Linked DNA regions of Drosophila melanogaster. The protein of the gene in region 2 interacts with the protein of the main gene of each other region in a pairwise test. Each region holds a gene or a part of one and is shown on either strand. Other genes may lie near its edges. The genes, in order: Col4a1 and dpp.

Region 1 (15,784 bases), 2.6 Mb from region 2:
TTGCGTCCAAGTCACACTGGCTTCTGGCACTTTTTTTCCAACTCACTTTTACGATTCCAACTTGAATCGCCCCACAAAGGCCTACCCTTATTTTCCACGACCTGCTTCCAACCACCAATTGGACTTTGTGCGCGTGTGTGTGTCTGCATATCATTATCATATGGCTCGGTCCACCCCACTTTATGCCCCGCAAACCGTCCACGGCGACCCCAATCGTCATCGCCACCCCCTTGACAGCTAACCAACCCCCTCCCCCACCGCAAATCCGCACAAAGAGAGGCAATGGCATGCGCACAAGTGCACGAGGTGAGTTCGCTCTCATCCTTGGCTTGGCATTGCTTTTTTAAGGGTTCTCCGCGACGGGGTTTCCACCACAATAGCCTACCCTTAGCCCTGGTCTTTTGAGGAAGATCTTATCACTCAATGTTAGGGGTAAAAAGTATGCAGTATTTGTCTTGCAGGAAGTTTATCACTGAAGGGCATACGATTTTTTATCCTCAACAATATTTGCTCTAAATAGGCTTGTATGAAATTGTGGTCGTAATTTGTATTTATAAATTTTAGTTTATTTTAAAACGATATGCGACAAGTTTTGTATAGCAGTTGAGGATTCGATTCGTTCGATATTCGTTCGATACCGCGTTTTGTTGCATTGTTTCGCATTTAATCGGTTTCAAAAATAAATGGAACATGCTGGCACATAGTTTATTTTATACTTTTGGACATACGACCGAGGCTAGTTTATTTATTTGTTTCATTTACTTAACATACGTAACGTAACTTAGAAGCAGTTTACATTTGTTTAGAACATTAATTGGCAGATAAAAAATGGCATTGTGGTCCAGGTCGGTCGGTAATTAGCACTTCGACTTGTGGATCCGTTTTTTTTTCTTTTTGGTTAGATTAAGGAATTTGTAGCAGTGTTGGTTCGTCGGTGTATGTATGTGTGTGTGTGTGTTGGTTTGTTTGTTTGTGTTTGTGTTGTGATCGTGTGGGTGTGCACACGATTCGTTGGTAATTTTAAGGCTTTACATTTAGATTAAACTTATGCTCTGTGCTGTGGGTGTGTCTGTGTTGGGATTGGAGGTCCTACGAGGAGTTCTTCATGCACACCTGGCACCTGGACACATGCGACTGCCGCTCGCCGGCCTTGATCGTCTGCTGCTGTGGCCTCTCGAACGGCTGTGAGGACTCCAGGTTGTACATCCAGAAGCTTGTCATCGTCTCATAGAAGTGGCACGTGCCCTTGGCGCCGTTGCACTCGATGAAGGGCGTTGCACGGAAGTCCTCCAAACAGGAGCCAGGCGATTGCAGCGCCTGTCCACCGCCACCGTTGCCCACGGCAGTGTGCTATTATAGGAAATGGTTGGGTTAATATTAGCATCATTATAAAAGAACTATTTAAAATCCCACAAGTAGTTAGGAATAAAGGTTGAAAATTAAAACTATTGTATCAAATCTTTCGCTACGCAGTATCCAACAGATGGCGCAAGAGTGTCGTTGGAACGTGCGCCATCTGCTGGAAAGCTAGGGAAACTTCGGAAACGCATCCCTTGTGGATTTTGAAAACTCTCATCATTCTTCTATAATCTAACGTTATAAGTGTTCCGATACTCACCATGAGGAAACTGTAGCCAATCCAGAGACCCTCCCAGCCATTCGGACAGTCGGGCACCTCTATCGTTTGACTGTGCACGGCGATCACATTAGCCGGCGCCTCACAAACGACGCAACGTGAGATGTACTGGCGGATCTCGATGTTTTCAACGGGCATCATCGGAATGGCGGCGTTGGTTGTCAGCCAGAAGGTCTTGTCATTTCTGGAGGCGTAGTTGCAGACGTTATTCTGACCACACGACAGTACGGGCAGCGTTGAGAAGCGTGGCACACAGGATCCGGGGGATCCAAGGTCCTGGTTGTGGGCATAGTCATTGCCATCGACGTACAACAGGGAGTAACCCGTCCACAGTTCCGTGTGTCCAGCCGAGCAAGCGGGCACCGTTTCCGATTGACTGTGTCGCGTAATCAGGATACCGGTGAGATAGTCCAGAGCAGCGGGGGCTGGAGCACCGGGCTCACCCTTCTGGCCGATCAAACCAATGGCGCCCTCATATCCCCTCTCGCCTGGCTCTCCGCGATCTCCCTTGGGTCCGGGTCGTCCCACGTTACCAGTCTCACCGATCAGGCCGCGCTCACCCTTTTCGCCACGCTCACCCTGGATGCCAATCAAGCCACGCTCTCCCGGACGTCCGGGCTCTCCCTTAGGTCCATTGCGTCCCGGCTGACCAGGTTCGCCCTTGGGTCCTGGTGGTGGCAGCATTCCTGGTTCACCCTTCTGTCCAGGCAGACCTGGTGTTCCGTCGCGTCCATCGCGTCCCTTGGGCCCGGTGAAGCCGCGCTCGCCAGGAGCTCCGACAGGTCCATCGTTTCCATTTAAGCCAGGGTAGCCGGTATCTCCCTTCTGTCCAACCAAGCCGGGCAGTCCAGACGGTCCTTGGAGTCCTCGGTCACCCTTGTCTCCCTTTTGTCCCTCGAAGCCATTCAGACCACGTTCGCCCTTAAAGCCCTGCGGTCCAGTATCTCCCTTCAATCCAGGTGCGCCGGGGAAGCCATCCTGTCCTGGTTGTCCGGGACTGCCGGCGAGACCACGCTCTCCCTTGCTGCCAGCTGGTCCAATGGGTCCAGGCAGGCCCACGAGGCCGGGCTCTCCGGCCAAGCCAGGCAGACCACGTTCTCCAATTAAGCCGGGTGCTCCAATAAGACCTGAATGGGTTAAATAACGTTGATTGGTGACATGGTTATATGAACCAATTGTGTAAATACAAATATGGGATCACAAACTCACCTTGACGTCCGTTTCTGCCTGGGCGACCGGGCAGACCCTTCTCGCCCTTAATGGTAACTCCTGGATAACCGATCTCGCCTCTTGGACCAATGTCTCCCTTGGCTCCGGGAATGCCGTTCAATCCGCTTGCACCTGGTGGTCCCTGCAATCCGCGATCTCCCTTTGCTCCAGCGACGCCAGCAGGACCAGTCAAGCCTCGTTCGCCTTGCTCGCCCTTCTCGCCAGTGTAGCCGCGCTCGCCCTGGGATCCCTTATCACCACGGATGTCGGGAACGGTGGCCGGAAGACCGGGCTGACCACGAATACCGCGCTCACCCTTAGGGCCAGGAGCACCGGTGAAGCCCTGCAGTCCAACGGGTCCAGTCTCACCCTTGAGTCCGGGCAGACCAGATAGACCAGGCTCTCCCTTGTCACCGCGATCACCAGGATAGCCAACAGCACCAGGAGCACCAGCAGCGCCGGGCAAACCATCCATTCCGGGAGCACCAGGAATACCAGGTGCGCCGACAGATCCCTTCTCGCCAGGCTGGCCCCAAACGCCCTGCAGACCTTGTTCACCCTTCTCGCCGTTAATTCCATCTCGTCCATCGATTCCACTGCGTCCCTGGTCACCCTTCTCGCCTGGCGGACCAGCACGACCGTGAACAGCCAGACCGGGCAAACCCTTCTCTCCTGGCCAACCGGGCGTTCCGGCCGGACCTGTATCGCCGCGGAGTCCGGATGGACCGGGTTCACCCTTTTGTCCTTTCTCGGAGGCATCTCCAGGCAAACCAGGAGGTCCATCCAGACCGGGGAATCCTTGGTTACCCTTTTCGCCAGGCATACCGTCCAGTCCTTGTTGTCCAGGGGCGCCTGCCAATCCTTGGTCACCCTTAATGCCCATCAGTCCAGGAGCACCTGGAGGACCGCGGCCTCCCACAGGTCCATCGTTGCCAGTCAAGCCAGTAGCGCCCTTGTCACCCTTGGCACCTGAACAAATGAAACCAAATGGTTCACATCAAATGTTCGAATGGGATACTGCAAAAACTTACCGGAAACTCCGGGAATACCAGCAGGTCCGCGCTTTCCGGGAGCACCAGTAACGCCAGCAAAGCCCTTGGGTCCGTCATTTCCAGGAGCACCACGGTCACCTTTGTTACCGGGCATGCCGACCAATCCGGGACTGCCGGGCTCACCCTTGGCGCCATCACGTCCACGCACACCATCAATACCAGGAACACCAGGAGGTCCGGCAACACCAGCGGGTCCGATCGGGCCCACGTCTCCCTTCTCACCAACAATTCCGGGACGTCCAGATACTCCGGGCAGACCGGCATCGCCTCTATCTCCAGGATATCCCACACTGCCATCGGCACCGGGAAAACCAATGGGTCCGGTTGGACCACGGTCGCCCTTCTCACCTTGCAGACCATTGAGACCGGGTGGGCCCATAGGGCCGGGTCTCGAAATACCAGGCTCTCCCCTCGGTCCAGGCTGTCCATTGCGTCCGGGAATGCCGCGAAGGCCGTCCTTGCCAGGATTACCAGGTACTCCGACAGCGCCCTGGTTGCCCTTTTCACCGCGAGGTCCATTCAAGCCGCGGGGTCCTTCAACGCCAGGAGGTCCCTGTGGTCCAGTGTTGCCCTTCAATCCGGTATAGCCCCTCTCTCCCGGGCTGCCGTCTTCTCCCGGAGGTCCTGGCATGCCGGTTTGGCCGGGCTCACCCTTGTTACCCTTGGCGGGCATCTTAATTTCGTCAAGCGCACAGCTACCGGGCTCTCCCTTCTCGCCGCTTCGGCCAAATGATCCCTTGTCGCCCTTTGCTCCGTCCCTTCCATGGAAGCCTGGCTCGCCCTTGATGGATTGACCGGGAATTCCGGGGTATCCGTCCCGCCCAGCGCGTCCGGGTGTTCCGTCGTTGCCGGGTGCTCCGCTCAAACCCTTCTCACCCTTGAAACCGAATTCTCCTTTGGGTCCAGGGATACCAGGCAGACCTTCTGCTCCCTTGAATCCTTGCACGCCCTTTGCACCTGGCGCACCAGGGTAACCCTTGTCACCCTTCAATGGCTCAATCAAACTCAAATCGCACAGAGCAGGTTTGCCAGGCTCTCCAGTTGCTCCGGGAAGACCAGTGCGACCGTCCTCTCCCTTCTCACCAGGCGGTCCAGTTTGTCCGTTGATTCCATCGTGTCCACGCTCTCCGGGATATCCGCGCTCTCCAGGCGGTCCTCGTGCGCCATCCTTTCCGGGAATTCCAGGCAGTCCGCTCGTTCCCTTATCACCCTTTGGTCCGGCCCTGCACGATGAGCATTTGCCGCCGACGTCACCCTTGATACCCATGTCTCCCTTTTGGCCAGGAGTGCCGGGACGACCAGCGTCTCCCTTTTGTCCAGGAGCACCAGCGGCACCGGGAGTTCCAGGACGACCCAGCTTGGAGTCACCGGGAGCACCAGCATTGCCCTTGAAGCCGCGCTCTCCCTTGCTACCCTTTAGTCCGGGATAACTAGGACGAACGAAAATTAATTCGAATTAAATAAGATCTTTAATGAAGGAAAGTAAGAACAGGACTCGGCTCCACAGTGGGACTCGACTGAGTGCTAGGACTATTAAATGAATCATTGCACTTACCCAGGTATGCCAGCATCTCCCTTAGATCCTTGAATGCCATAACCGGGCAAACCGGCGTCACCCTTCTGTCCCTCTGGTCCCGGTGGTCCTGGGTGTCCAATGGGTCCGATGGATCCCTTTGGTCCATTAAGTCCTGCGGTTCCCTTTTCTCCCTTTTTGCCAGGAGGTCCCTCGTTGCCGGGGCGACCGGGCAGACCAGCACCTCCCTTTTGTCCATTGTATCCCTGAGGACCCGGTAGTCCATCAACTCCGTTTAATCCCTGGGGTCCAGGTGCGCCAACATAGCCGCGGGGTCCTTTGGGTCCCGGGGGTCCTGGTGTTCCACGGCCACCGCCTGGCGGTCCCGGAGGACCGAGCAGACCAGGCTTACCTGTCGCTCCAGCACGTCCTGGCTCACCCTTCTGTCCGGGATTACCGGGCAGACCATTAAGGCCCGGCTCGCCACGATCTCCCTTTTGTCCTGTAGATCCTGGGGGTCCAAAGTTACCTTGGCGACCCTGTACGTATATATTTCATTATAGAGGTTTCAACTTCCACTTCGATTTGGAGCCTTAAGTATGAACTCGACTTACGCGATCGCCTGGGCCGCCGGGCAGACCCTTCTCGCCCTTCTGTCCATCGAGTCCAGTGTCGCCTTCAGGTCCGGGCTCACCCTTGCGGCCAACTAGGCCAGGCTCTCCCTTCTGTCCCATATCGCCGCGAGGTCCCATCACCGTGTGGGTCGGTTTGACGGGAAACGAGGACGCGGGCTCACCCTTCTCGCCCTTGATACCCGGTGCACCAGGCTTCATGGGTCCGTAGCAGGAGGCACCCTTCTCTCCCTTCAGACCGTGCTCACCCCGGGGTCCTTTGGCTCCGTAAGGTCCACTGTCGCCGCGCTCGCCCTTTTCTCCAGGAAATCCTTGTGGTCCAGCCAAACCGGCAGTCCCCCTCCAACCGGGCTCACCCTTCTCGCCCTTCGCGTAATCACCGTTCTCCTTTGCCGGTTCACCCTTCTCGCCCTTGCTGCCAAGCTGGCCGGCATATCCGCGAGGTCCGGGCATTCCGGATAGACCCTCCAAGCCAGGAATACCATCCTGTCCGTCGCAACCGTCTTTACCGTTGATACCAGGGGCTCCGGGATTGCCGGCGGGTCCCTGGACTCCGGGTACACCAGCCTGACCATGAAGACCAGGCGATCCGCGCTCACCCTTATCACCACGCTGTCCGTATGGGCCGGGATCACCCTTCTGACCCTTGTCACCAGATGGTCCCTCCATGCCAGGGAAACCCATTTCGCCCTTCAATCCCGTGGGTCCAAGAGGGCCCGGCAGACCACGGTTGCCCTTCTCCGCTATGCACTTGGGCACACAGCCCGCATATCCGGCCGTACAATTCTTGGGCGGCAGATCGCCGCGCGCCACGCCGGCAGAGTCTACAATGTCGTAACTGTCGTCGATTGGGAACTTGGGTTCATTTCGATTGTAGTGTTTCACGGAGTCCTGAATCGAACCGGCCGTACCAGCCGTCTTCCAAAATTGCTGCGGGGAAAAGGAGTATATTATTCAATGTCCAGATGGATGGCATGGGCTACGGTTATCTTACAGCGTCGGCACCGACTAACGCTCCCGCGATCACAGCGGCGTATAGCAGCCTGCAAAGAAGTCGACGAAGATCAGGAGGGTTAGGAACTGTGCTTCGTCTTATCAGTCTAGCTATTTAATTGGACATAGCTCTCTTCGATTGGCAGCTCTCTCTTAAGCCGTCAATTCAAGAGAGTTTGCTAAAGGCGCTTAAGAGAGAGCTTACAAGTTTTTAAGAGATCGCGCTTCGAAAAATTAAAAAAAAATTGAACAAATGTGATGTTTTAAATTATGTATTTTTGTATTGCTGATATCTAAAATATTAATTTAAAAACTAATATTTGCTCTTTCTGAATGGATTAGAAAGAAAAAAATTGGCAATACTTTTTTAGGCCATAACTGGGTTTTAATCATTAAAAATTTCAAAAAAATTTTAAATTTTTAAATAGAGTATTATTAGTTGTTAAGTAAGTATTATTGTCATGGTTTTTAATAATTAACAATTGCTTTCTTTGATTAACTTAAATTTTTGCAACCATTTGTATTATTTTTCTAACTTTTGTCATTTTTCTTACCGCTTCCAGAAGGGCAACATGATGCCCTATGCACTTAAGCCTGCACAATTATTTGCTCTGTCCTCGTCGAATTTGAAGTTTATATGTTGCCGTCGCTGGGCCTGGAAAGATGAGCCAGAGAATTGGGCACTTTAATTTCGCAACAGTTGCAAAATAAATTGGAAATATTCTTAGAGGAATATTATTTTATTTAATATTTGTGGGAAAATCGAGCTGGCTTATTTTTTTTCAACGATTTAATTCTTGTATTTCGTTTCATTTCATTTCCAAGCATATACACGCGACAGTTTGAGAGGCACTGGAACTGGTACGAGACTCGCACAACGACTTGCTGGATATTTTCAATTAATAGTACGCGTTCTTCCTGATTTAATTAAGATATTTTATGTTTATATTATTTTGTTGTTGTAAAAGCTCAGTTCCTTACAGGAATCAAATCCTATTTAAGGGACGGTTGGACGGGACGGGACGGGACCCTAATGGAAACACACATTCACAACCGAGCGATCCGATCCGAACCGATCACCACTCCACAGCGCTGACTAAAGACTAAAACCAGCTGGCCAGATCAGCTCCGGACCGAGACCAGACTACTACTTACTCGGGGAGACGGAACACGACTAATTATAGTATAAGTTCGAGCGATCCAAAAGCCAAACGCCGATGCCCCGATCTTCACTCGTCGATCGTTCGGCTTGGCACGATCTCGACGATCGGGTCTACGGCTCATGTACACTATCCGTGTGATTCGACGGGGATTGGATGGGCATCGGATCGGTTGCGATGGCTGCGAGGTGGCTGGTGGGAGGTGGGTGGTGGCACCATGGCATATAGAACGGATGGGCGACGGGTCGTCGTATGTAGCAACACTAATCCCACAAGTTAACATAGTCGCTGCGGAATGAATGAAACTTGGCGATAAGTCCGTCGCTGCTGTTGATATGCCACATGCGACTTAAGTTGCTCAATAGCACATCAGCTTCGTTCCGCCGGAGCACCTCCCCGGGAGCACCTTCAACCAGCTCTCCGGCTCCCAGATCCCAGCTTCCAGATCGCAGCTACCAGCTCCCATCTCAAAATTAGCTGATAGCCCCCGCCCTGAGATCGGGCACATGGCTTCCGTTTTGGTCCGCCCCTGCGGCTCCTGCTTTTTGGACTTTTTTCGGTGCTCGGGCAAGGGAAATTCCGAAGGCTTCGCTATCAGGCCAATGTTCTAATTATAACCTCATCAAAATTTTGTGTGTACTTACAATAAGTATGATAAAAATATCTAAAACTTAAAGGATAACAAAAACATGTGTAAACATTTTATTGGCATATACTTTACTTTTAATAGGATTATAGTCCTTTTCTAAGTTTTAAAAATATTCTCTAGCTTTCAAAACTGATATAATTAATTTGACAAAGGTTTTGAAGATTAAATCTCTTTTTAAGCTTTACTTGGTATATTTTTATTTGCTATATATAACTGATTATTCAAATCATTCCATTCTTTTCTAAAACAAAATATTTTAGTTTGATTGATTTTAGTATGTCGATGCAATTATTGTTTCAAAGAATGGTCTTTTTTCGATTTTTTTTGTATCTATCTACGCTTTATTAAAACTAAATGTATCTTAAATGAAATTTCATTTTAAGTGCCAAGTTTTATACATACTTAAAATAATTATTGTTATTTAATTAATAATAATTATTGAGATCCATTCATTTTGATAGTAAGTACGACATAATACTTACTAATACCGCTCTAAACATAAATTAATAAGATTTTAAGTTGCCGAAGTGCGACATCATTTAATATCCTAATCACAGCAGTTTCCTGAGAAGACATATATTCAGGCCACTGGGCCATATCCGACTTGCACGTACCCTAGAACAAAAGAGCTTTCCCAACTAGAACGAGGCCTTGATTATAGCCGCCCTATCAAGACTTATTTCAAAACACTGTGGCCCCGAAACCCAAAATCAGGCTCGAATTTCGAAAGGTTCCCATTTGGCTTTTCTGCGTCGGACTTATTGGAGCTTAAAACTCATGTTCGGTTTTCAGTTGATCAGTAGTTCGTTCTAACAGGAAATACTCAGCCATATCCGTCTTATCAGCCTCACATATGCCATATATGTAAGTACTAAATGAAAAAGCCTTAACCTAATCACGAGAAGCGCGACAAACAAACTAGCATCTAATTGTATTGAAATCACTAGGATAGCTGGGATTGAGTATTAGAATAGCTTTTACCCCGCAAGAAATATCGTGTGTCGCTAGTTGGAACTATCATTTAAGTTATATGCGGATGGTTATTATGTATAAATGGTATGTGCCTGTTAGTAATAGTTAGTAATAGTAACATTAATTAATAAATTATTTAATAATTTGTATTTTCCCAAGAGACGTGCCTAATAAAAAGAACAAAGTGAGAATCTGATTGATCATACCCCTTCAGGGATACGGTACCAAAATGGGAAATAGAATTTGTATGCTTAGAATCGGGCCGCTTTGATTTGGTTAGAGGGCTCTGCTCCTCATTTCCTCGTTTCAAGGCGTCAAAGTGCTAAATTCCGAACCATAACCAGAGCCCGGAGTCACATCTACATCCAAACCTCCATCCAAATCTCCATCCAAAACATCCATCCGGGCCTGTCCCTGGCCTGTGCCTACTACACTCACACTGCTGCAACTTCCACTTGCGATAGTATTGGTGGGCCGAGAGCCGATCGCGAACGGCCGAACTTTTACGAGTGGAGCCGAGCGTGCCGAGTGTGCGGGCGAAGAATTCGAATTTCTTTAGCGGGACTCGTGTTTAGTAATACTTCGAACGCTAGACGATCTCCACATGTGGGGAGAGTGCTGTGCCCGACGATCGCAGCAGCAGCAAATCAGCGTTTTCTGTTAGTTTCCCACACTTTTCCGATCGTCAACTCTTTAATACTTGATTTGCTAATGTCGGTTTTATTTGAGGGCATTTTATAAGAATCGAAAATTCTTCAATTTCTAATTTTATGCTTATTTCGTTGGCAGTTTCGTGTGTGTTTTAAGCGGGGAGAGACAGAGGCAATTAGATAGAGTGCGACATAAATACGTTGCGGATAGGACCAAAGGACCCAGCGAGGATGTTACCCAGAGATCTAAGGCATCTCTCGGGTCTTCTGGGCGTCGTTTATCTGTTGGGCAGCCTGGTTTCCGTTACCTTGGCGGATGGAAAGGTAAGTGCAATCGAAATGCTTAGTATAATATCCAAAAATTGACAGCTCTTTAAAGACTTGGATTGAGAAATGTATAGATTGTAGTGCAATAACTTTTTTCAACTTTTTTTTATGTCTTAAAACAACTTAGGAAATGATATTTAAAATAAGGCTCTTACTATTTAAAGTGCTTCTCAGACCATAACCGTTTGAATTTTATGAGATTGCTAAATACTAACCAAAGTGCTTGTCAAACTGTATATGCCTATTTCATTAACGCAGCATTTTTAAGTTACTTGAAGCTTATAACAATAATATTCTTAATTAACTTTGAAAGAAAATTATCATGTCCACCAATGCTCTCCAAACTGTATCCGTAGTCATTGATTTCGCATTTACATAGTATCAACCATAAACAACTATGTAAAATTGGGTCAGCTCGGAGCTCGACTCTTAATCACCGCTGCTATTGTTATTGTTATTCTGCAGCACTGCACTCTCTGATTTATTCACACTTCCGGCATGAAAACATCGCGTAGTTGCAACTCTTTGGCTTCGACAGATAATTCCTTTCAGCTCGTTCCCGATTCCGGGGGTTCAATGAAGTCCAAGTCCAGCTTGGGATCGATTATGTCATTAAATAATTTTGGCAACATAATTTTGTAGGTGAAGAGGTTGGCGATAACGCCCATTGATAACCCCCCTAATCTTTCAATTTGGAGGACATTGCTTTTTTGGCATACCAATTGTGGTTCGCCATTGAACGTTTCCGGCTGGCAATTAGAATTATATTTAATAACCGCCAGATTAGTCGCTTAATTGGCATATAATCATTTGTAAAATGAAACGGGAATGAGTATGAAAAACAAAGAATGCGCAGGTTCTTAGTTATTACCCCAATTGAATAGATTATTATTCAAAATAAGACACATTAACCATTGAGGTTGCGAATATTTCATTTATTTATGAATGATTTTTTAAGCAAACACAAAAATGATTTGACACAAAAGTGCGAGGCAAACGCAATACTCAATGTTGCCCCAAAAACTATGCACTACTTTTTAACACCGAGTTGCCCAATTCAGTGTACCTTGTGTATGTACCAAATTAAATTGAGTATTAATATTTAAATGGCTAGGGATCACAGAGATTTCGTAATGCTGGATGAAAAATGGAGCACATGCCGGCGGCACCTACTTTTTGATGGCATTCGGCTGGTCTTATCAGGCTGCGACTGATCTACACACATTTAATTAGACCTATTGCTATGTTGGCGGCATTGACGCCATTGATAGCATGTTCCGCTGATTGCGACATGGCTTTCTAGACTCGAATTTAGAATAAATACACTTTAGAATTGAAACAAGTGTCGCCAGCAGTCGCAGAGGCTATCGGCTTGGCTTGACTTTATTGCCTTTACCAGAGATCAGAGTTTAGTTTTCATACCAGTTGAGCAGTTAACTCAATGCACAATTCGTGCACTCAATTCGTTGGGATCTGGAAATCTGGCCCCATCGCTCACGTGTTTGCCATCATAAGTGTGCAGCTCGTCTGACGACTTTGGTAATCCGATCCACAGCTCTTTTCGCACTCGGTTACGTGGTCAATGCCATGGGCTTGGGACCCTAACTCCCGGATTCCGAGTGAGAGCTGCCAGGTCTCCAGGTCTTGTGGGTTGCCAATGGAGGACTAACCGCAAAACGATGAAAAACTTGACTTCGCTTAGCTACCGTTGCTCGTGTTACCCTCACGATAAGCGAAGGCTTACAAAAAAAGTTGTTTCACTTGCAACAGTATTTGAAAACGATATAATTAATTATATCCTGGGTGCATTAAGCTAATCTGAATAGAAGGGGATTCACATTTTTCGCTGGAATTAGTTTTGATTAGAAACACACATTGTATGTATGCCATTATTTACAATCTATAAAGAAATTTATAAAGGGAATTATCTGCTATGAGTAAGATATATTCATACTTAATGTTTTTAAGGGTATTTATTCCAGCATCATTTGAATATACTTATTAAACAGTTAACAGCTCTCAGGCAATGGCTCTAAAACTGTTCTCGCAATGGGTTTTGCAACCAGTTTGGCGCTTCATTAGCCGAACAAATGATTTCCTTTTCCGTTCCGCGAAAAGAGAGCCGATCGCTTAAGAGCCGCTTCAATCGAAGAGCAGAAGAGACAGAGAGAGATGAACTCATCGATTGCAGATGCAGCTGAGGCTTTCAATGAATGAATTTTGATAAATGGTCTTTATCAGTCGCTCTCCCCACTTTACCACTGCACCACTACCCCATGCACCCTTTCTCTTTTCTCCTGCACTTGCCCAGCTATAAATACATATATGGAAATGCCGTTATTGCCTGTGAATAAGTGTGCTCTTTCGCCAGTGCGCTTGTGTGTGTGTGCGCAGTTCGATTCCGACAATTAGCAGCAGCTCAAGTGATCGGTGAGGGGCTCTCTTGGAGAATCACTGGAATTGAAATGAAGAAGGGTTGCCGGGGTATGGCGACTTCAGGGGGTGAGGGGGTCGGCAATCTTTTGACGTTCTGCACCATTTCAAATTGGAATTGAAAGTTCTTGGCTGTTTGTTGTTTTGTTGCTTCTGCGGCGGCTGCTGCTGCCGTCCAAAGTCTTAGAAACTTCGATGGTGCACTTAGAAAAATCTTAACTACATACAAAACAATATCAAATAAATACATAATCTAAAACCTTCGAAATTTACCATGAATTCCGAAATTTTCTTATAAAAAGCTTGTAAAAATATTGTATTATATTGAATTGGTTATTTAAGAAGAGGAGTAATTTCTATCAAATTATAAAATTATGATCTAGCGGGTTTGATTATTGCCACTCAACCATTTCTTTCCGTGCACCTTCCCTTTCAGTCTTCAGTTTCGTTCTCCTTGGGTTTTGTTTATTCCCGATCCTGGTCCAAAGTGACCCGATGCTGCTGGCATAAATCACTGACCACCGCCGGCCAGACTGAGCGGGGCCAACTGGTGATGGGTGTCCAGCTGGTGGAGGGGATTTCGATCCAACTGAAGACCGCCCAAGAAAACGAAGAGCGGGGGCAGCAGCTCGGAGCTCGGACAACAATGATCATCATCTCATTGTTGGACTCCTTGTGGAAGTTTATTTGCGTGCTTGAGCTGAATTGTTTGGCGAGTTGCATTTCAATTTGACTCAATTATTTATTTATCTGCAACTGAATGCGGAAATTATGCGGAGTCTCGCTCTCTATATGTACGTGTATGTGTGTGTGTGTGTGTGTGTGCGATATGGACAACATGTCGTATGAGTGATATGGGCAGGGGCCACTTAGTAGCCGCCTTTGTAATGAATTTCGTGAATTGAAACGATTATTTATGAGCGAAGCTAGTGAAATTGGGTTATCAGTCATCTGTCTCATAACTGCAGCTCGCTCTTCTCCTTTTTTTTTTGCCGCCTTATCAGTCCGTACGGGCTCATGAAATTGATATTCATCTGAGCATTTGAAATTCTATACATATATACATATATTTAGACACTATATGGCATGTACATATGCATATGTGTACAATGTATGATGCGATTCCATTGCTGAGATTCCATTTCAGACGGCAGACATCTACTGTCATGGCTAAAAATAAATTCTGCTTAATTTGCTTGGTTAACTTTCTAGTGCTTTGATTGTCTGAATTATTTGCAGGCCATTGAGATGGTTAACCAATGGCTTCATGATTTCAAGCGATTTATAACTGGGTGAAATCTAACTGGCAGCTCCTTTGATGCAAAATTCGAACGATAATGGTTGCTGGCATGATGTGACTTATGATTTTAAGTGCATTTTCAAAAGGTAACAATATAGTTTCCCAATCTGACGAATGTATGTACATACTTTGATAGGCGATTCAATCACTTGGCGCTTCCTTATCGCCACCTTATTGACGATCGTTGCGAATATTAAGTTGTGACAGCCCGCTGTCCATCAATTTCAATGTTAATTTGAGTGCACGGCAATTAGTTATCATCTGTCAGGCTTGTGTCCAAACAATTATGCGCCACGATGCCGTAACCGGTCACTCAAGCAGATCCAACTGGGTTTTGCTCCAGACGCACGGTTACGGAGTGCGTGGGTGTTCTCCATGTGCCAGTGGCAGTGCAGATTCTTTTGCATCTTCTCCACATGTTGACTTAATGTCAAGCCGGAGCAAAATGATGTCATGCAGCAAGTGCGCCCGTCCAGATGTGCATCCATTACTATGCTATGCTCCACATGAATGTTGGTGTGAGTAAGTGCGGGGGTTGCCTTTTCATGTCAATCACACGCTGCTCATATGTTGGCCCATATTCGTTTTTTTTTTTTTTTACTGCTACCCTGTAGCTGTGCCCCAAAATCGGGCGTTTTTATGCCAACTGAATCTGGCATGAATCTGGCACTTTTGTAATGTGCAACTAGGTTGAGTGGTCAATAAAATGCATTTGTAGGATGTCAGCCAACTATTTGAAGTCAGTTTTGTGACTATAGCATGTACTTATGTATGTTTACCCAATAAAAGAATAACTTATATTTTACATTTTACTTAGTACTTGCGCGTCTAATACCTTCATTTGAATGCCTTTCATTGTTGCATGTGTGCAGTGTTCCAAACGTTTATGATGCACATTTAACAACAGATTTGTTGTTGCTATTGTTGATGGTGCAAAAAGTTCCCACTCCATTTCATGGGGCATATAAATGTGAAAATGAAAATGCGGTTGATTGATGGCGCGTGTTGTCTGACAGAGAAAATTGGGTCAACTGTGACGCACAAAAGGATCCTCGTCTTTGGATGCAGCTGAATCTTGATCTCGAGCTTGAGAAGTGTATCTATAAGATAGCAATTGCTAAGCATTCTATATCCAGCAAAGTAAAGTCTTAGGTATCCTCCTTGGCAACAAAGAACACACATTGATGTCTTGCCGTTTGCAACAGATAACCCCTTTGTCCGCAGCCTGAAACACGAAACTCGAGAAACAATACACATG
Region 2 (15,597 bases):
GAGGCGAGTGATTTCGAGGCCAGCTGAAAAAAATAAAGCGAGAAAAGGCAAAAAGAGAGAAAAAACATATTGCATACATATGCGCGCCTTGCCGGCCGGTAAAATATACACTTGCGTCTATATCTAAGTATCTGCTCTTCCCTCTCCACATGTATCTGTATCTGGGCCTGCTCTTGGCCCACTGAAATTTATGTTTGATCGTTAGCATCAACAAGCTCGCCTCGCCTATCGCAATTAAGTTTTCAAAGTATTTCAATTATTTTAATTTATCCGTGAATTTGGCTATCCATAAGTTTTTATGGCCCGGCCCATAAATGCCATAAATAAGTACTATTTTCTCGCTGTGGCTCCCTCAAAGCGTTCCGATTGGATCGATTGGAACATTCTCAATTTCAATTGACTTTTATGGTTTAATTATTTACACGCTGAAAGTTGCATGAAATTTCCAAGGCGAATCGTTTTGTAGGCCCAACTCGATGGTCATGGCAGTTCCTAAAGTTCATTTACCCGCGGAGAGCCTTGGGCCAACTATTGCGCAGATTTGATGATATATAGGCACAATTTATAGGGTGGAGTACCATTGAACTGATTGAAGAAATCCTAATGACCATCAGTTCGACATCATAGTTTATTTTGTTTGATGAGACTTGGATCTACAAGATATCAGTAATTTTATATACCGAAGAATTTTCCTATTTATACTACTTTTCCATTTAAATTACATTTAATGTTATTTAAACACTTATACATATATGTGAATCATACAAGTCTCGACCAAATAAATTGTACAAAACTATGATTCCTGGGATTCATTTCACCATTCTCATAGTCTGTGAGAACAGTTCCCAAAATTGTGCAAGTCATGCATACTCTTTGAAATGTACTATTTCACATACTTGGCGAAATTTTATTGGATAAAAATTTCGCGGGCTAAAATGGTTTTTCATTTATTTGGGCGAAAAATCCCCAGCCAAGCAACCGCAGATTTTTCCACTTTCGGCCGTAGGCGAAACTTTTCCATCATATATCAAACGGATCGGAGAGCGATCGAGATTAGGAATCACCTGGTAGGTGGACTTCCTGGAAGCGAAGTTCTTTTGGCTAATTTACACCGACATCGAAACGATTCAAGTGAATCTGAGTGTGAATTTTGATTTTGGGCAAAGATCACTCAGAGTCAGAGGGCAGAAAAGTTGGATAGTGGCAGGCAGGCAGCTTCCAGCTGGGCAGAAGCGGTCTCCAAATCGATCGCATTAGTATCTTAATCATGGCCGTCACAGTCACAAATTGAAGCGATCCATCAGGCAAAATTTGAGATGATTCTCGCCCCTCTCGCCCCACTGTCGCCGTCTCTATCCCTTTCTCTCTATCCGTCCCTCTCCGTTTGGGGAACTCAGATCGCGCACTCGTAATATCTGCAACCAGTTACGGGCTTTGGGGTCGTAACTATATCTGTGCTTACGTATATGGGCAAATCGCACATGACTCGATCGATCGTTAGTGGGCCGCAAAAGCAGCTAATTTAAAAATAGCCCAGCTAAAATTAACTTTTTGCGGTTTGCATTAATAAAAGAAAATGCTATCGGTTTTAACTGGATGCTGGTGTATAGCAACCAGATCAAACTAATGGGTTCGATTCGGATCAAGATCGGCTTGCCCCACTTAGGAGATTCGAAGGAGCTAAGATTACATTACCTATAGATCTAGAAATATGTTTGATAGCAATCGTTAGATTCGTGGTTTGGTATATATACAAATTAATTGCTATTTGATGTAAATTACAGGGTATCAAATCGGAGACTACCCCACCGAATTCGCCCTCATATGATTGATTTGCATGCAAATTCTCGGCCGCATTAGTTTTCATTGCAAATTTCTTCGGAACGAGTTGCAGCTGAGTCTTTGTGGAGCTGCATCTGTTGCACCTGAGTGGCTGAGTGACTGGGAGTCCACTGCAGATATCTTACCACCTGCTGGGCTTTTCGGGGTTTTCACTTTCAAATCGAGCTCGCTTGACGCCGCCTGATTGACAGCCGGCAGTTTAGGCGCCACAAATAAAGCTTAATTAAATAAACTCGAGTATTCGACGGGCGGCAATTGCCGGAGAAAGGGGAGCTCACGGTGGCTATTGCTATATATATATGAACGTGTGCGGAGTCGATCTCTGTGCATGCTAAAATAAATAAATAACCAATTTTTAATTGAATTTCTACCTACATTTTTAACCTGTTTGACGGCATTCCGTGGCAATCAACGTCTCACTGCCATGCCAGTTGGTGGAGTGGTCGTCGTTGTCGTCGTTCGTTGTTGTCGTCGATGACGCTCGTTGTTTTTGCTTTTGTTGTCATTTTTGTTGCTATTGTTGCTGTTGTTAGTATATTTGTTGCTTTTATTATATGCATAGTCGGTACACAGTGACAAATTTGCCAAAACTATAAAAGCTAAAGTCTTATTGAGTTTGACCTTAGCTTAAAATTTTAGGAGTAATGCTTTTGATATTTACTCATGACAGATGACCGTTCTTCTTGCTTCAAGTGTTCTTTTTACACAACATTTTCTCACGGTGCAACTGTTGCTGTTGCTGTAAATTGCTACAACCAAGCGCAGTTGCCGCCTCAGCAAACCTCGTGCTGCTTTTCCAGCCCCTTCTTGGCGATCCTCTTCTGCTCGTTGTTATTATGATTTTTTCCTCTTTTCCAACTCACAACAAAGAAGACCTTTTGCCGCGATGCCAATGGATGGGGGGGGGGGGGTGGATTCAGTGAAGGGGGACAGTGGGCGCTTATCAGGGGCGGCGAGGTAACTGGGTGGCGGTGGGTAGAAGGGAAGAGGGGGCAGGGCGGACCGGCGGAGACGACGAGGCTACCGCCGCCTTAAAAGTAAAGTCAACTGAAGTGATAGCCACAGAAGCAGAGCGGAGCTGGAATAAACGCGTGTCCCACTCAGACCCCGAAAAACAGGGTGTCCACAATGGCGAAATATCTTTAATATATATTTATATAAATATATATAGGCGTATATAGAGAGTTTACTTTACTTTACCTAGAAAGATTAAACACAAGACGTATGTATGTAAATTATTCAGCACACATCACACAGCCTATAAAGTTGCAATTGCTTAGAAAACGGTTTATATATCATATAATGGTGTACTAAATCCTTAATCACCCTGTTCCAGAATGAGTGTGTTTGTGCCACTGGCACTTTCTTGGCCTGATAAGAGATTTGCATCAATGAAAATGGAGCACTTTGGAGTCGGAGACAAAAATGTGAATGCACCGCAGGATGTTGACTTTACGGCCACTCTGACTAACTGGAAAATCCCCCATTACGATAAGTATTATAACTAGAAATATATATATTTATTCTCACTGACCCACTGGGAGTTGTAAAACTGAAACTTCAATGCAGCTATTAAAATATGCACTTTATGGTTTGTTTGCGTTGCAATTATTTTTGTTGCTGCTGAGGTTTCCTTGAATTTTTGTGGTTGGCAACTAAGACATGTAAATCTTGTTATTGAATGCTTGCAAAGATCTGGATTTCGAATCTAGTTTACGCTTTTCGAATCCAACCGAAAGTGGTTTCAACTGCCGTATCCAGCTAACTGTGAAGCCGTCGTCCATAACTATCTCTCTTCCACCGATGATCATGATCACCACAACGTTGTAATTAAACAAACAAACAGTGGATAAAAACAGACCCAAGGAACGTGTTCTGTCGTCAAATGGGCGTGAAGTCTTTTGAAAATGGGAAGATCTTGAAAACCGAAATCTAAAGCCTAAGTTAAGCTTGCATACTATATATATATTTGCCACAGCTAAAGTATGAATGAATTGATATACAATTTGTTATCCATTTTGTTACTTTGCAAATGTAAAACCCCGAGAAAACAACGACCCCTAATCAATCCGCTTTGCGAATTTCCTGCTGTCCTACTTATCAAAATCCAAAACATATGTTTGAAGGAACCACAAGGCTCCTGCTATTCAATAGTACTTCAAACTAAGCTTTGTAACGAAGTCCACTGATTAGTGTCCCATTGCCAGTAGACTACAAAATACAGCCAAACAGAAATACATATATGAAAATAAGTGGCTGTTTATTATCGTTTCCCCAGAAGCTCGAAAAGCGATTTCAAGTTCGTTAAAACGAATTCGCCAGTGGCAACAGCTGACTTGCTGCCTTTGAAATGGCCAGTGGAATAAGTGGGAAAATTAAATTCAAACTGAAAAAACAAACGGAAAATATGTATGTTCGACGCATAACTGTAAATGTAAATGGTGTCCCTCCATTTGAGGCTTATCGAATAAAAATAACTCATAAATAAATAATTAGCATGAAATATGCGTATGTGTGTGTGTATATATATATGTGGCCCATGTGAGAGCGCCAAGTGATTTGAACTTTGAAGGCAAGACAAGTTGGGCTGAGTTATGAATTTATCTAAAATCACAGCATGTTGTCGTGGCTATTTCCCATTTGACAAGTGGTCTGGCCCAAGTGTCAGACATGATAAATCATATGCAATAAATGTATATCTGCGAAATTGAAATTGATACCGATACCGATGGCGTTATTTGGGCGAATCGCCGGGGCGGCGAGAAAGGCCGGGGCAAAAGTGAATTGGAAAAGTAACTCAAGTTCGCATATTAGGCATACGCCGCGTTGAACGCCGAGTGAAACTACGGCGCTTGGCATCTTCTGGACCGAAAAAAAAACCAGTATGGTCGGGTTCTCGAAGAAGATGACCTTATACAATATATTTTCGAGAGAGAATTTATAAAATAAAAAGCAAAATTGATCAGTTCTCGATTTGACAGACAGAAGACAGAAGATCGTTGCCAAATCGTGTCGTTTCGTTTGGCCACCTTGAAGCTAAGTTCATTCATCTTCGTTTAGCATAGAAGTTTAGCAGGTGATTGAGCTGGGCTCGCTCGACTTTTAAATAAAAATGTAAACTAATATTATTAGATAGTTGACATAGTCAGAATATTGATACATATTGGAATTGTTAGCTAGCGTTTCTTGCTATGATTATGATATAATAACACATAATTATAATTTAAGTTTGCACCTATCAAATCACACTTCTTGTGCAATCCAATTGGTTTTCCAGTCAAGGTGTATCCCATAAACCATAAACCCATCGAGCAGCAGCCAGCGATATCGGATATCGTTCTCGGCTGCCTTGAGGCGCCACATCAGGCGGAAATCTGGCATCGGAATGGCCCAAACGGTAGACTGAGGTGCAAAGTCCGGGCCAAAAGCACCTGAAGCATTAGTTGCAGTTGCAGTTGCCACCTGCTGCAGCCTCTTGTTCGAACACCCTCCCCCCCCCCACAATCTTTCGTGGGGCAATTCAAGTACAAGCGAATACCAATGGAAATATTTTTGTGGCTGTGTGTTGTTTGCATGGAAACGTGATAGCAAAAGTTGTTGCTGACCGGGCCAAGTTGTTGTTGCCGCTGTTGCTGGCCGCATCTGCTTGTGGAATTTATTTATCGTTAAGAAATGCGTGTAAAATAAGTGAAACTATTGGGAGTCTCAAGCCTCCAGAGACTGACCAGTTTCTTTCGGCGGCCAACGGGGGGGATGCGGTTGCTAATGCCACCACTTTTGATAAAAATGTTGGCCTAAGCCAGTTGTTGCTGCCTGCTGATGACCAGTAGCCACTTAACTTGGCCGAGAGCGGGGCGAAGCGGGCATGGGCAGCAAATTATTGCCGCATTGCTCAGTTGTTGTTATCAGCAACGTGATTTGCCAGGCCAAGATGAAGATTGAGATGGAGATGGTGATGGGATGGCATGGAAGTGGAAGCCAACTTCAACTTGGCTGCTTCATTGCGTGCTCACGATTTTTATTTCATTTTCGTCGAATTTCCGAAAGTGGTAGACCTTCATGGTCTCATCGTCAGCTGTTGCTATATCTGTGTAGCTATATCTCATTATATTGCTGCTCTGTCTTGCTGATGTGTTGCTTCTATGTAGCTGATGCTGCTGCTGCTGCTGCGGTTGCTTAGTTTTGTTATCGGGCTTTATTTCTGTACCTTTGCACATTTCGAAGCTATCAATTTCCCACCTAACCAACGGGCTTGCTGCGCCCTGCGAATGCAAATGCAAATCGCAGTTAATAAACTAATTGAGCCTAGTGGGGTGAACTTTGACACTGATTTAGTGCCCCCAGTCGCATTAGCAAGGCAAATCGAATAAATCGATATAGATACCGATTAAGATTTAGATTCAGATTTCGATGCTGATTCCGATCCCATGTGGGATGGCTTATGCAATCGTGATCGATCAAACCAAACCAAAGCAAAGCTAAGCGAAGCAAGCCCTGCCCAGCCACGCCCAGCCAGTCACATATAATTATTCAATTAGCCAAATGGCGTCATAAATTAACGAGTATATGGCATATGGTCAAAGGGTTTTTTACCATGGCCAATGTCAGTGTCAGCCGCTAATTGTGACTGGTGTGGAATGCCGTTAATTCAGTTCATCACTTGGCCCCCATGAATATGCAAGTGACACCCGATCTCCACATGTCTCTGCTGATAATGTCCGGGGTCCAGAGATAGAATTTCACTTTTTCCCCGGATACTGGCGTAAATCTGTCGAAACTTTATGCAGTGATATCAAGTTGGCGGAAGGGACTTATCTATTGGCAAACTTATTAAAGCAAACTAGATTTCCTCATAGTAATATAGATTTTTTAGGTGTCTTCATAAATGTAAATGCATAAAAGTGAAATGGTTGCAAAGTTTATCATTAGAAATCTAAACAGTGCTAAAGTCTCTGAAGAAAATGAACATAATATACTGCAATTGCTATTGTTTCAGAAATAATCCACTGACTTCTGAGTTACATGTATTTATTTCTTTCACATTTATATACATAAGTAATCAGCCAGTCTATATGCATTGTATTCATATGTATATGTGTATGTGACTCACGCATTGCACCCAGTTCCAGTTTTCCCAGTCAGCTGTTTAACAGCCGTTCAATTGATTCGATTGATCTCGAATTGGACACGCAGCCACCATGGCGTATGCGCATTATTTGCTAACACTCTCGGCTTGGCTTACCTGGTGCACCTGCTGCACGCCGCTCAGTTACGCTCCAAAATCCACAAATCCTTTGGCTGCAACTGCAACAACAACCAATTCTGGCAGTTCGCGAACGTCGCATACATTATACACTGGTTCGACTCGGATATCCACTCAAATACTTTCGACCTATCTATCTCGCTGTGGCTTCGATTCGATTCGATTCGACTTCGACTTCGATTTTGGCTTATGGAAATCACTGGCACTTCACATGTTTGCTGCTGACGATGGTGGCCAAGCTCAGACTTTGGCTATTTTCGATTTGGATTTGGCACACAGACACATCACTCACTCACACTGGCACACTCGCAAGAATGGCGATGGTTACGAATATATTATCTGATACCGAATCGGTATCAAAAATCGGAGAGGCTTTGGCTGGCTGACGAGCGATCGCGGAAACGAGAACGAGAAACGACGGGAGATATTTTCTGTTTTTTCTGTGGTTCTTCAGGCGCGACTATCAGCGTTTAACTCGGATTTACTTTATTTTATGGCCGCAGAAACCGCGAACGATTACAGAGCAGAAAAAAAGTGATTAGAGGCTGTATATTCGGTTGTAACCAGCGATCTTTCGCCTCGATTTGGCGACACTCTGTGGACGAACGAACGCGTTTTTCGGTTCCGTACAACGAGCGTTGAGCGCAAAAAACTGAATGAGCGTCCAAAGCGGCCGAGGCAAGGCAAACAGGCAGGCAGGCAAAAGCGATCCGGAGACGGAGCAGCAAAAGCAAAAGCAGAAGCAGAGCCGAGCAGCAGCAACAGCAACATCAAAGCAAAGCACAGCACAGCAGCAACAGCAACACAAGCAGCAACAGCAACACAAGCTAGTTAGTTAGTTTTGAGCTCGTAGTAGTGAGAGTCAATCGCACACACACTGCCGACCACGATGGCAAGTTGCTTAAGTCGCTCAAAGCGCCATTTAAGTTGAGTAATTAAAACAGGCAGTATGTGTGTGTGTGTGTGTGTGTGCGAGTGCGATTAATTATTAATCAAGCCAAAAAAACAACAAGCAACCGCTAAGGCAACAATAACAAACAAGCCAGACTCACAATTACAATATTTCAGCTCTCTCAGTCGCCGTCTTCAGTCCACAGTCTCCGGTCCACAGTCTACAGTCAACACAGAGTCTTCGGTCCTCAGTCTTTAGTGTTCAGTCTTCTGTCTTCTGTCTCAGCTGCGATATCTTGACTTTCTTCAAGTCTCTCTTCGAGCCAAAGCCACAGAGCTGTTACACATTTGACTTTTCGGCGCTGCCGCAACTGGTTCGGTTTATTTTTGGCTCTAAATCTCGGACTAAGTCGCGGACTTCTCGAGACTGCAGCGCTGCTAATGCAAATCTAAATTGATTGCAAAATGCTTAGAGTCCCGAGCAGACAATCTTTCGAGTCGATCGGCGTTGCCGGATTGTTCGGCTTGTTCGAGTTATAGGAGCTAGATCGTTTTGAGATATGCCAAAGTGAGAGTTTAATGAAATCGAAGCACAAAAGTCAGGCTCTGCAGATAACACACACATGAGCTCCGTTTGACTCATCGATCTATTTAATATTTTTAAAAATTTTGTTTGTCCTTCAAAATGTTTTATTTGTTATTTAGGCCTTGATACTATGATTCCCCAAGCCTTACTCACCATATCAATCATACGCCTCGTGTGCCCATCTGGCAACGCTAGCTGCCCAAAATCCATGCAGCAAACTCAATTGATGCCGCTGATCTGGTTGTTGTTCTTGCCGCTGATGTAATTAAAATATTGCACTTGTTACTTTTACCAGCGGCTGTTCTGTCTCTTTCCCACAGCCTTTCTTCCCGTATATTGTGCTTGCCTCAGGAACACAAGTGCAACAAAACAAGCAGCCAAGGAGCAGAAAAAGCACAACAAGCACGCTGACAACATCGACTTCATCGTTCGCCGTGTGTCGTGTATTAAAACTTGTTCATTGGAATTTTCTAATAAATCAATAAACGCAGACAACACAGCGCAGTGCGGCGGGGGGCTCCAAGGGGGGATCCAACGGGGGCTCCACAGAGGGGACTTCGGGGGGCCAGCGGCATCTTGGCACACAGCTGGCGGCATCGGCGGACCGACGGACAGATTGCCGCACGCATCTCGCAGATTGCGCATTTTATAAATAGCTGCCTCATTTTTTTTCTATTTTTTAAGGTTATGGAAAATTTTAGTTGTTGTTATTATGATTTCTTGCTATTTTCCTTTCCAACTCGATCAGCCAATCGCGATTGTAGGCTATGGCCAAGCGGCAGCATTGACAACACTTTCACACAGTCGATGCACCCAGAGAAATATAGATATTCAAATCAATTACAATTCCATTATGTAATGAAAATGTTGTAAAGTAAGGAATAACATCCTTACAACATAACGAAAGATTATGGGAAACAAGTACGCACTTTGTAAAAATGCCTGCCTATTACCTGATTAGCTAAATTGCACTTCATTTCTCTGCGTGTAAAATAGTCGCTTAGCCGTCAGTATTTCCGTAAATAAAGCGCTTGGGAAGTGGCAATTAAGTTAACTGTGGGCTGGCCACAACAATCAGGTAAACGCCATGAAATGTACGCCAATCGATTGGCGTTTTGCACATTTATTTATCTATATTTTCTATAAGTAACGATCGCTTCCTATTCTTTTTCGAATTGCCATAACGCTGGCACTTCGATGCGGTAATAAAGGTGAAGACTTGATTTTTAGTGCGTTTATCGCGGAGGCAACAATGTTGCCACTAAATTTGCCATGTTCCAGCCCGATATGCTAATAGGTCTAATAGCTTTCGATTTGGCCCGCTTTACATGCGACGAGTCCGTTCGGCACATTCTAAATGTAAATAAAATGGAAATTCCTTAGAGTGGCACCAGCAGCAGCAGCAACAGGCGCAAAAAATGAAAAAAATCGGAGTGGAGGGGCAAAAACTTGTAGAACAGGAGGAGGCACTTGTTGAGAACTTGGCTGCCTTGTTAAACGAGCCTGCAACACCCAGCAGCAGCAGCAGCAGCAGGAGCAACAACAGCAACAATAAACAATGTTGCAATGCTTAATTATTTCAGCGGCAAGGAATTCCTTGGCGCAAACTTGAACTGCTTCTGGACTATGGATGTTGCATGTTGCTGCTGCTGCTGCAGCAACTCGATTGCGCTGCCTTACACTTGAGGTCGTCTGCTGGCTGGATTTCAGTTCTCTGCCTTTCCACTTTTCCACAGGTAGCCAGAGCGAACTGCAGTCCTCAATCTCAATCTCAGTCACGTTGGTCAACGGCACCGATGCGTCTGTGGCCAAGTCCCTTTGCCCAGGTTGCTGTTGCGGTCTGCCGCACCTATTTGTAATGCATTAATGGCCCAGAGCGCGGGGGCAAAGAAGCCAAGAGCTTGGAAAAGAGCCGATTGACATTAAGCTGCCCATTCGGCATATGGGAAGATCAGTGCTTTTGATAAATGGCAAGTAGCAGCCCGAAATTATTAATGCCAACATCAACATCGGTTAGACATAATTGTTGCGATGAGCATCGGTACTCGAGTGTTGCAAGATCGGAAAAGGTTTGTGAGGAGCTAAGAGCTTTGTGGAAACCTTTTAAAATTGATGGCATTGTTAGATGCATTTTTAAAGACTTGCTTGAAAGAGAAATCAATTTCTATAACTTCTACTCAATGGAGTACTTAAACAGGGATTGAAAGCATTTCTGACCTATAAAGTATTACTATGGTATGATTATATGATTACAAATTTCTAGTATATTTGGTACCGCGCTCTGGTGCGCGTCTGCAACAAAATCCCGGTGATCATCTGCGGCAACAAGAGTGAGCCTATGAATGATCGCACGGCGTTCCTGCAGGTAACATATGGGCGGATGAAGTCAAAACTTAACCTGGAAAAGCCATTCCTGTATCTGGCTGACGATCTAAATTTGAGGCTGGTCAGGCCTCCAGAACCCTCCAATTTATTTGAATTTTCAAAGGAGACACCGCCGAAGGAAGAGCTCGAGCGACAAGTCCTTTAATTATTTCTGTTTTAAAATTCATACTCTGTTCTAGGATACGGTTCTGTCGACGTCTTTCTCCGGCACATGCAGCGATACTCGTCACAGACCCGGTCGTCCTTGCCATCGCACACATATGGGGTGCGTTCGGCCATCAGCATCGTGATGGGGATCCCTAGGAGCAGAAACGACATCCAGCGCATCTTTGTCAAGGATCTCTGGCAAGCAATAGTCTTGAAGAGTCAATCTCAGTCCACATTTTTTATTTAGACGGTAGCGTATCTAAAATGTTAAGTACGTCTAATTGCTATCCAAAGCGTGAAAAATTTAAATTTATACTAGCTTTTAAGCTATAACCTTTCTAAATTTTATATTCAAACAAAAGTATTGTGTTTTAAATGAAGTTCTAGATGAAGGGATGGGAAGGGAAAATGAAAATTCGGCAATCGTCTTCGGAGTAACCAGTGTCAAGTTCATTGCCACATAAGTTCGTTGCGCCCCCAAAATCTGTCCCAAGTTGGCGCCACACATCTGGTTCAAATTAAGAGATTCCATCCGAAAGTTTGAAAAGTGATTCACATGAGCGTAGCCAAGACTATAGTCCAACAGAATGCATGTGCCTTCCGTTCCTTTTCTGGAATTTGTGTCCATTTGCCCCCAACTAAGGCAGCTGACAAGAGCGCCAATTGAACTTTGCCTATATTATATTTGTTCGGAGTGAACTTTGCCATTGTCTAGACAAATTAAGAGCAGCGGCGACCGAATGAAATTTATGTATGTCGCCCGCAGGCGACATGCGGTGAATAGTGTTTAATTGTTGGCTTTGGGGCCATGCGGCGTATACGCAATGTTGCCCAGTGCCACTTGTTTGGAGCGCTTTTTGTACATTGTGTGATAAGCGTCGTCAGTTTGTCTGGCAATGAGATCGCTGGCAGCTGGTGTTGCGCTATTCGGGGTGTGATGTCATAAGTCAACACAAGAGGAATCTATGCTATATGGCGATCGGATCGGAGATCGTTAATTAAAATTTCCAGCGAGTACTTCATTAGCATCGTCGTCAGCTGCCACGCGTTGCTCAGCTGCCGCGCTCCAATGCTTAATTAATAAATCAACGCGACACTTGTACTCCATCTTGGCGATGGCCGTATCTGCTGCTCCGATGCTGATGGCGATGCTGATGCTCATGATGATGATGATGAAGATGATGATCATGGTGATGGTGAGGATGAGATGCCCGCCGAGATTGTTGCCATGCCGGGCCAGACAAATTGACGCGACATTCCACATCTGTGGGAGGGGAGTTGCTGGTGGTCAGTGGTTAATAAAAATGTTAAATATAGCTGCCGCCGATGATGATGACATCTGTGCCATCGAAGCGGAAACGGAAACGTTTCTAATCGCCAGCCACGGATCTCCGAGTGGGCCCTTCGTGTCCACCAGTGGGCAGCTGAGCTCTTAATTGGAGGCTGGCACTTCCTGGTAGCCTCTTATCTCAGAAGCGAGCTCTTGAAATCTTATATATAAGTACAAATTTGTTACAATTGAAATGATTTAGCACACTTATTAGACACTTATATCCTTTTGGAATTACTCCACAAATTTAAAGTGGGAGCATTCATTGTGCAGCAGAACATATCAATTGTATCTTAGAACAATCACAATCACAGAGACAATTGACTGTTGTGCGCAGTAGGTAGATATCTTAGATTAGTCATAGTATAAGTTACAAAGGAATCAGAACTTAGTCATCTCTGAAGGCGTGCACTGCGAAATGCAGTTAATAACAAACCTAATCGAGCAAAAATAGCTCAAGAGAGTGACTGGCGAATGTGATTATTTAATAATTGTGGCATATGCGCGGCAAAATAATAATACTACTTATATGTATGTGCTGGTGTTCCACGCGAAGTAAACAATAAGAAGCGTTGATAGAAGCGGGCAAAACAATCACAATTAGAGAAATATGCACTCAAGTGTTAGCTATAGTAAAAATCGCTAAATTGCAACTGGGCGCGCGTCGCGTTTTAGTTTTTCAGTATGTCTAAAAATAAAGCGAAGCAAATAAATTTACATTTTTAATTGCAATTATCGCTGGCTATTGTTGTAGTTGCTCGTTGGCTACTGTTTGCCTTTGGCGTTTCGAACAATTAAGATGATTTATTAGCAGCGCATTTTTATGAGACGCAGTACAAAAGAAATGGAAATTAAATGGAAATTACTCAGATATATTTATGCTCCGTGGTGATCGCATATACAAATTGATTTATCACATCTGTCGTTCGGTTTGCCTATTGCCTGCCACATAATTACAATCAAGACAATTCCAGGCTGATTTCATAACCGGAGACGAAAGCTAATTGCCGTTTTATGCTGTCACTGAAGACCGTCTCAGAGCATAAAGATCACAAAATTATTTGAATTTGAATGGATATTAAAAATGTTAATGAAAAAAGTCGTAAAAATTTCATAGAGCAAAATTAAAGAGGAAAATCGTAAAAACAAATTTAAACGACTATTGCCCGTCTGCGGTTCAAGAGCAGCTCCATTAACGAACTGCCCCACATATGTACATATATGTATATGCAAGTATACAACTAAATGGATTTATCGGCGAGCGAGGGCGTTACACTACGGCACGACCAGGAAATGCAGATCCATCACATTGGTACCCGTGTGTCCAGTGAGCACGTGGTGCTCTCCCTGCGCGAGATTCTTGTAAAAGTTGTAGCTGTCGCAGTTTCGCAGCGTTTCGGCCAGTTCATCGAGGGTATGATCACCCAGATAGGATTCCACCACGCTGCTGTCTCCAAAAGCTCCGGCCGCATCGGTGGGTCCATCGATGCCGTCGGTTCCGGCGCTCAGGAAGGTGCAGTCCCGCATGGCCTCGTCGCGGTGCAGAGCCTGCGACATCAGCAGGGCCAAGTGCTGGCTTCTGCCGCCCAATCCATGGCCAGAAACCTACGGAAAAAGAATCGTGAATGATTTGATGACCATTTGAAGTAGTTTCCACAAACTTTAATGACTGGCTCTCCTCCACAGATCAGGAACAGTGGCTTCTTGCTGCTCATGTGGTCCTCTAGGGCCCTCCGAAAAGTCGGATAACTTCTCTCCCCAAAGGCGTACTTCTCCCTGAGTTGAGGATCCAGTATGCCATGCTGCTTGGCCTCCTGGATACCGTGCAGCAATCTCTGATAGTCGCCAGCCACTTGAGCCACATCTCCCTGGACAGCACAACTGAGCACGCACGGAATGTAGCCCAGCCTTTCGGCCTCATGAGCCGCTGTGGAAGTGGCTATCACATTGCTGCCCACCACAAAAACCTTGTGCTCGGGCAGCGATGTGTTCTTCTGCTCCTCCGGCTGCTCAAAGACCCGCCGAATCTCGGGGGACAGCTCCTCCCACACATGATGCTTTTTAAGGATGTCGGATGGAGATGCTGCCGCCTCGGGTTGTATGGTGGGACCGCAGGCTATCAGCTCCAAGGGATCACCGATGATGTCGCTGAGCACAAAGGTCACCAGGAGTCCCGCCTGGCCGGCCAACCTGGCCAAGCGACCGCCCTTTATGTCCGAGCAAGCAATCCTGACAGCATTGATCTCCTGTATGCTGGCTCCCCGCTTCATGAGCTTATCCGCTATGCTGCGCTTGTCCTCCAGCGTCAAAGGTGACCGGGGCAAGGGCAAAAGGGCAGAACCGCCACCGGAGATGAAGACGAAGAGGATGTCCTGGGCAGTCATCTTTTCGGCCAGCTGCTTGATTTCCCGGGCTGCCTTGAGAGCATTCTCATCCGGCAGATTGTTGGCTGCTCCTTCGTGGACAACCAAACCAGGTGCCACCGGTTGTTGGAACTGCTTCAGGGTGTTTACCGGTACACTGAGGACTCCACCGGCCGAGGTGGCTCCCAAATCCTGTTGCACTTTGTTGGCCATTCCCAGGACTGCTTTGCCAAACCCCACTATGTGGCAGGTCTTGCCGCTGATGTCTTGGCGCTCTCCATTGAGTTTTATGGATATATCCGTTGCGTTTTCCCCGATTTGAGGCCGCAAATCGAACTTTTGAAAGTCAGCGAATACCTTTTCGGGATGCACTGCGTTTACCGCCTGGACAAAGATCTGGCGCATCTGCTCCCAAGTCTGTCGCTTGGCCATTATGTAAAGGTGCTTCGGACAGGGCGATCCTAATCAGCGATGCTGAAATTCCAGTTTTACTTATCATTTTCAAAACAGCTCAAGATATTATATATTTATTAGTGCGACCTCAGGCGGAAGATTCGAAAACACCAAAATGTTAGGGACAGATTAAATTAACTTCACTAAAGAGATAGATTGAGCTATGCGAATATTATGTACAAATTTATTTAAGGGAAGTAGGAATTAAAAGTTAAAATTGATTTTTAATAATTTAAAACTTATAGAATTTTCTTTAATTTAAAGCGGAATCCCCCTATTATGTTACTGGTATGTGTCGCAGGCTTGCTGCTATGTCACGCACTGCTTTTTGTAATGC

Evidence for each region.
Region 1: the proteins of dpp (region 2) and Col4a1 interact in binary tests that used the Drosophila melanogaster proteins (3 or more experiments, as listed by UniProt).

The regions. Positions count from the first base shown.
Region 1 is NT_033779.5:5,022,043-5,037,826, reverse strand, and holds Col4a1 (collagen type IV alpha 1), read right to left. Parts: upstream 8,219-15,784; 5' UTR 8,081-8,218; exon of another isoform or gene 8,017-8,080; intron 7,691-8,016; 5' UTR 7,610-7,690; coding exon 7,590-7,609; intron 7,086-7,589; coding exon 7,037-7,085; intron 6,973-7,036; coding exon 6,025-6,972; intron 5,950-6,024; coding exon 5,453-5,949; intron 5,328-5,452; coding exon 3,877-5,327; intron 3,815-3,876; coding exon 2,846-3,814; intron 2,764-2,845; coding exon 1,619-2,763; intron 1,351-1,618; coding exon 1,090-1,350; 3' UTR 548-1,089; downstream 1-547. Other genes in the region: vkg (viking), read left to right, coding at 10,698-10,790. UniProt on the Drosophila melanogaster protein: Collagen type IV is specific for basement membranes.
Region 2 is NT_033779.5:2,420,538-2,436,134, reverse strand, and holds the start of dpp (decapentaplegic), read right to left. Parts: upstream 7,764-15,597; 5' UTR 7,085-7,763; intron 1-7,084. Other genes in the region: CG44139 (uncharacterized protein), read right to left, coding at 11,124-11,294; CG9886 (uncharacterized protein), read right to left, coding at 13,720-14,049, 14,106-15,239. UniProt on the Drosophila melanogaster protein: Required during oogenesis for eggshell patterning and dorsal/ventral patterning of the embryo.